Linked DNA regions of Struthio camelus. Each later gene encodes a partner of the first gene's protein in a complex. Links are inferred from orthologs where the notes say so. Each region holds a gene or a part of one and is shown on either strand. Other genes may lie near its edges.

What was found.
Region 2: the proteins of PAXIP1 (region 1) and H2AX are in contact, whole or in part, in a crystal structure (PDB 3SQD), measured with the Homo sapiens proteins. The link is inferred for Struthio camelus from reciprocal best matches to the Homo sapiens genes PAXIP1 and H2AX. Residues at the interface, in NP_031375.3 of Homo sapiens: Phe871, Thr872, Gly873, Phe874, Pro876, Lys907, Thr909, Arg910, Thr911, Val912, Lys913, Pro986, Glu1050, Leu1053; in NP_002096.1 of Homo sapiens: Gln138, Ser140, Gln141, Glu142, Tyr143.

What each region holds. Positions count from the first base shown.
Region 1 is NC_090943.1:9,730,250-9,733,993, forward strand, and holds the start of PAXIP1 (PAX-interacting protein 1), read right to left. Parts: upstream 2,633-3,744; 5' UTR 2,506-2,632; coding exon 2,419-2,505; intron 1-2,418.
Region 2 is NC_090963.1:94,039-97,007, reverse strand, and holds H2AX (histone H2AX), read right to left. Parts: upstream 1,665-2,969; 5' UTR 1,550-1,664; coding exon 1,118-1,549; 3' UTR 621-1,117; downstream 1-620. UniProt on the Homo sapiens protein: Variant histone H2A which replaces conventional H2A in a subset of nucleosomes. Nucleosomes wrap and compact DNA into chromatin, limiting DNA accessibility to the cellular machineries which require DNA as a template.

The DNA of each region.
Region 1 (3,744 bases):
GGATTATATTTTGTTCTTGTTATTGGATTAGTTTCATTAAAATCCTCATTTTTGCTAGGCCTGTTTTAATATTGATTCGGATGTCTAGCCTTCAATGAAAACATTTGGAAACTTAAGCTGATCAGAGTATGCTCATCCCCAAAAGATAAGCATAAAGATGAAAAAGATGAAATAGGAAGCTTCTTTTTGAAAGTAAGCTAGTATCCACTTGTATATAAATAAGCAAATAATTTTGAAAATATCTGTATTCTTATAATACTAATGGATAAATATTTCAGTATAGAAACTATTTTTTTTAAATGTGTAGAATTTAATTTAGATTTTCTCCTTTCTGTCCTGGTTAAAAACACAACACGTAAATAGCCTGCTTGTTCATTTTTTCCCTAGGGTACCACAGAGGGTACTTGTGAGAAGCAGTGAAAAGTTCCTAAGTGGAACTTGCCCAAGTTCAGTAAAACCCACTTCTGATTAGCTTTGGTTGTGATGGTGCTGAATCAAATCCAGACAGGACTCTCACAGAACCACAACCTGCACTCCCCAGTGCCTGATGTTCCTGAGGGCTCATGAGCTCAGGCACCAGTGCTGAGAAGTCCTGACATCCATTTAACCCTATGCCAAAGCACTAAGCCATTTCAGCATCCAGAGCTCAGGAGGAAAGAGTGCAAACTGACCAGCAGGCTGTTTACAGAAACAACTCAGACCCATCGGACTTTTCAATTTGGCCATCATACACAGAAAGAAAGTGGTTAAAAGTCTTCCAGCATGACCTGAAGCAGCGGTAGCCACTATGGTGTAGCGCTATGCCTAAGCTTACACAGTCTGCCAGAGCCACCTTAGCTGTCTATCTACAACACAGAAATGTCATCCACTAATACATGAGAACTGAGTGTACCTAATTTAGAACACATTAAGGCTTGACAACAACGAAGTTAACTGCTAAGCAAGATAAAATTTATCTTAAGAAAAAAAAACTAGCAAAAGAGAATGATTGCTTACTGGCTCTATGGGAATACTGCTGATTGTCTTGCTACGTCAACACAAAACTAACTACATGCCTTTTGGGACACCATACATATGATATAGAAGAGAGTCCTGTTGTTTTCTGCACTCATCTTTGTACATATAATAATACTGCTGCTATACCTTCTTAAAAATGTATAGTGTTATTCAAGCTCTCATACATTTTCAAATAGCTAATGTCTAAAGGCTGTGGGTTTTTTCTACTCTTCAACTACATTACCAGTCTTTATTTAACATATAATCCTATTAACGTGAAAACACAAAAAAACATTTAAATAGGTCAATGTCTATGTCCCGAGTTTGTTTAAACACCCATAAGTGGAAAAAAACATGAGATGAAAGGAATCTGATACTGAACAAATGGTAGACTACAGCAACTACCAAAAGAGTCAAGACTTAAATTTCAGTATCAAATGCACAGGAATCTGTTAGCATGAAGTTGCTGTCCTAAAGCTAGATATGGCACACTTCAAACACTTGTCTAATTGGACATGCCGAGGAAACTTTGTTGGCACTTCCATCCAGCAGAACTGGATGTTACCACAGGCCAGCCCTGACATCCAGGCTACTGCCCTAGGTGCTAGGGCTGGAAGGTCATCTGACAGCAGCTTAGGGGAGCACGAGGCAGGGAAGATCATGTCGTGACCACATCAGGATCTCTGTCCGTCCAATGGGCCTGAGAGATCCGGGGACAGGCAGCGGAGCCACGGGGGTCCTGCACTGTGCTCCTGGGACACAAGGAGGAGGGCGGAGACCGAGCGGGCAGGCACGGGCGAGCGGGGAGGGAAGTGACAGCGAAGCCTTCGTTTGCCGAGCCTCCCCCCGCCACCCAGGCGCCGGGCCGGCCTGTCACTGCCCCCGTCCTGCACCGGCCACAGCCAGGGGCGCGGGGCCCAGCCGGGGCCGGCACGGCGAGAGGCTGCCTGCCGCCCCCCGCCCGGCGCTGCGGTCGGGTCCGCCGAGGGCCGCACGGCTCCACGGGCGGGCCAGGCCCGGGGCCGAGGAGCGGCCCCGTCTCCAACAGGAAGTCCCTTCGCCCGCCCCTCCTCCGCTCAGGCGGCTACGGGGCCTGCGCGCCGGGGCCGCTGGCTCCCATGGCGGGTCGCGGCGCGGCTGGCCGCGGGCACGGCCGTTACTGGCCGTTATGGCTCCCCCGCGGCGGGGGCGGGGGCGGGGGTGGGGGGGCGCTGGGAGGGAGGGAGGGAGGGCGCGCGCGCGCGCTCGGCCCCCGCCCCTCCCGCGGGGGAGCGCGGCGCGTGCGGCGGCGGCGCGCGAGCCTCGAGCCCGCGCGGTGAAGTGCTGGGGGGGGGGGGGGGGGGAGAGAAGAGGAGCAGGAGGAGCCCATGCTGCCCCCCCCGGGGGGGGGGGAACGGAGTTGAGGAGAGGGTGACCCGGTACCTTGGGGTCGATGTCTCCCACCGCGAAGAACTTGACATCTTTGAACATCTCCTCGGGGACTTTCAGCTCCTCCTCGTCCGCCGACATGGTCCCGGCCGAGGCCGCCGTCACGCGCGCCCCCCCCTTCGCCCCCTCCCCAATATCCCCCGCGCGCACTGTGCAGAGCCGCCGGGGCCCGGGTCTCCCGTCCCCTCCCCCCGCCGAGCCGCCGAACCGCGCGAGCAAGGCGCGCGCTGCGGGACACACCATCCCCCGCCGGGACGCAGGGGGGGCCGAGGGGGGAGGGGAGAGCCGCCGGGACAAAGCGGCTCCCCCCGCCCGATCAGCCACCCCGGCTGTTGCAGGACTAGGCCCGCTCCTCTTCCACGGACGCTATCTCCGCTCTTGCCCCGCTTTCCGAACCGCACCAGAAGCCAGCCTCCGGGCCCGCGGCTCCCCCCCCGTACGGAACGCAATGGACTCGCCCCGAACGACAGAGGCGGGCAGCGGGGATTCCCGGACCCGCCCATTAGCAAACAGGCGAGGGAGGGGGGGAAGAGGAGAAGGGAGCGCTCCGCCCTCGAGCCCCGCCCCCAAGCGCAGGCCCCGCCTCCCCCGCCGCGCCCCTGGGGACCGTTACCCGCCCGCCGCCCCGCCCCCCCCTCCCCCCCCCCCGCCGCCCCTCGCCGCCCTCAGGGCGCTCGGGCGGGAAGCGGCCGCGGGCGGCGGCGGCGCTGGGGGGCGGCCCGCTCCCCCCGTCACACGGCGGCCTGAAACTCCTTCCCGCCCCGGCGACGCCTGCCTGGCACCTGGCAGCACAGCGCCCCGGGCCCTGCGCTAGGCCTTGCGTGGCTCAGGAGGGCCCCGCTGAGGCTGGAGCGCGCTCCCCGTTTCCAAAACCCTGGTGACAGCCAAAAAGCACTTGTGCGACTCCCGTTTTCTTCATGATACCAGGCTTTCGTCTCTGTTCTTCAGGGGAAATCAAGCAACCGCCCGTGACTAACCCCACTGCAAGCTGTGACAACGTTTCTGTACTGCACGTGTCCTACTACGTTCTGCGCTTTATTCTGATTTCAAACCATTCCTTCAGTCGGTCGAGAACCTTCCAAAATTCAGTCCTGTCCCAAAATGTTGTTACCTCTCCCCGCTGGCAGCCCTCTGCAAATTTAATAGGCGTACTAGGTATTCCGGCATCCTACTCATTAATGAAAGTACTGATTACTACCAAAATCAGACGTTCTCCCTTAGAAGCCTGCTCAAAACATCTTCTACCATGATACTAAACCACTGAAACCTAAAGGAGGATTCATCTTACCTGACTCCGGAAAACTGCTCAGAAAACTGAAA
Region 2 (2,969 bases), on another chromosome or scaffold:
CTCTGTGAAGGTCGTTTCAATTATTGTTGTCATTAGAAAGTCAAAAAATTTGGGAAATGTTCTCCTATAGCATTTAGGAATAAGGAACTGAATACAGATTATAATCAAAGACTAAGCTGTGACAGCACTAAAGAAAATAATGTACGTTCAGTAGTTATAGAACTTGCATAATCCTTTGAATACTATTTGGGCCTGTTCACTCATCAGAAAGACTGCCACGAGGGAGCTGAATAAGGCTCCTAATACAGGGGATCTTCATAGTAAAGTTCCAGGGACACTATGTTCATCATAGGTCTCAGGTAAAGAATTAAGTTTGAAGTATCAGACCTAAATTTGCCATCAGCCAGTAATTAATTATGATGGGAAGTAAGTGGGTGGCTCGTTTATCCCTGGATAGTTATAATCTGAGACAGTCATTGGTATACGATAGCTAATCAACTTTGAGCTAAACTTGAAGAGGGAAAAACAGGGGTTGTTTATGCCTTTTTCTATAACTGTTGGCTCTTTCCTTGTACTACAGTTCAGAGTTGACATGTCCAGTTCCATTTGCAGACTCTCTCTCCAGAGCTCCTGCGTTACAGTGCCTTGTAGGAACACGGACATGGCATCTTACTGGGGTATCGTTTTGGAAATGAAGCATTGTTTATTCTCGAGGCAGCGTCCACTGAACGTAACAGCCAATAAATACAGTTAACTTAAAGGACCCAAAGGACTTTGGGGAGCAGCGCTTGTATTTACAGTACTTTTGATCGCAGTGGAGCGGGGTGGCGTAGGAGTTTCAGTGTAGGAGTTTCACTCCGTTATTGCCGGGGCCCCCAGCCAGCCTGGCTCTCCCCCCCCCCCCCCAGCCCCCCGCGTGGAGGCCGGGGCACCCAGGCCCGCCCCCCGCGGCTGCAGGCGGAGGAAGTACGTGGGGCGAGCGCAGGAAGCCCCCCGGCGGCCGGAAGGGCGGCGCGGCGCGGACCATGGCGCCGCCTCCGGGCGCGGCGGCGGGCCGCGGTGGCGCCCCTTCCCCCCCCCCCCCCCCCCCCCCGCGGATCGCAGCTCTCTCGCTGAGCAATGTGGGTGGCCCTGAAAAGGGCCTTTGTGTGGTGTCGGTGGGGCTCGGCCGCCCGCCCTAGTACTCCTGCGACTGCTGCCCGCCGCCCTTCTTGCCGGCCTTGGCGGGGCCCGCGCCGCCGCCGCCCGTCTTCTTGGGCAGCAGCACGGCCTGGATGTTGGGCAGCACGCCGCCCTGCGCGATGGTGACGCCGCCCAGCAGCTTGTTGAGCTCCTCGTCGTTGCGCACCGCCAGCTGCAGGTGGCGGGGGATGATGCGCGTCTTCTTGTTGTCGCGGGCCGCGTTGCCCGCCAGCTCCAGGATCTCGGCCGTCAGGTACTCCAGCACGGCCGCCAGGTACACGGGCGCGCCGGCCCCCACCCGCTCCGCGTAGTGCCCGCGCCGCAGCAGCCGGTGCACGCGCCCCACGGGGAACTGCAGCCCGGCCCGCGACGAGCGAGACTTGGCCTTAGCCCGGGCCTTACCGCCGCTCTTGCCACGGCCAGACATGGCGCCTCGCTACGCTGTCGCCTCGCACCCTCCGCGCAGCAGCTGCGTCGCGAAACGGGGCGGCGGGCCCCTCACCCAGCCTCTTTATAGCCTCTGGCAAAGGAGGGCCAAGCTCATTGGACAGCGTCGCCGCGCCTCGCCGTTGGTGCGTCGCCTGGAAGAACCTTTGTGCTGACTGGTCGGTTTTGCCATCTGACCGCGCTCGCCTCGAGTCCATTGGCGACTGCGACAGGCCAATAAGGAGGCAGGGCGCCAAATTCATACCGTGCGGGGCGGTTGGGGCGCGCCGCTGGGGGAGGGGTGCGGCGCGCTGTGGTAGGGAGCGGAGCGGCGCGGCGGCGGCGGCGGCGGCGGCGGCCCCGGCCCGGCGGTGCGGCTCTCGCTGTCTGCCGCGGGGCTGCCGTTTCCCCCGGCGGGGGGCAGCTCCTGCCGCGAGAGCTCCTCGGCCGCGCCGACTGTATCGCAGAGAGCCGCTTGCGCCTCTGGACAGCCCTGAGGCAGCAAAAGCATTTACACACGAGTGACAGTACCCCTGAGAGGAGAAACATCAGGTTTATTTTGGTCAGCTCTGACTGTGGCACGTTGCCTGCAGGTAACAGTTCTAGATCAGTGCCAGATAACAAGCTTTAACTGTGTTGCCTGCTAGGTTATGTAAGGGCTAGTCACAGTACCCCAAAGGGCTAGAGGAACGACAACAGGTGGGGGACCCCAGTGACCCCATCAGCATGGTGCTGCCCTAGCTAGGCTGCTCCTGGGACCCTCCAGGGAGGTGGTTGGCCTCAGGGCCTGGGCCCCCTCTGGCAGGGGCACCTCCGGGGTGAGCTGGGCGCTCCCAAGATGCCCGCAGACTGAGGGTCCCTGCCTGCAGGGGTATGGGGCTCACAGTGGGGTACCATGAAAGACCATTGGGGGAACGTGCAAAGCTTACTGTGTGATCCTTTCAGGGGATTGTGGGAATGCGTGAGACTTATTACGAGTTGTTTAGCGGAAGATCCGGGAAGGGAGGCGTTACAGGGGATTGGGAGATAGGAGCACGAGAAAATACAAGGTAGGAAGTGGGGAATGCTGTGCGTACGTATGTTGCTGGTTGGTAGGTTTGGTAGACCGTGGTCTGTCCTGTCCTCTTAGTAAAGCATTTCTCGCTTTTTTTGCGGTGAAGGGACGCTCTATTCTGTGTGCACGTGTATGCATGGAGGTCTAAGTGCCAGCACCTGGAGTTGGACCACCGTCCAAAGAGGCCCATGAGTCTGTGGTACCAGCAACTGGGGGGGACTGGAGTATGTGCAGGTTGTAGGTGAGTGGCTATGTCAGATTGTGTAATTGCTAGCGGACATCAAGTCGCACTAGCCAGCAAGCAATATGCTTCAGAGCCAGGTATCCAGGATCAGATACTACAGGGACCAGGGTCGGCCAGTTACCT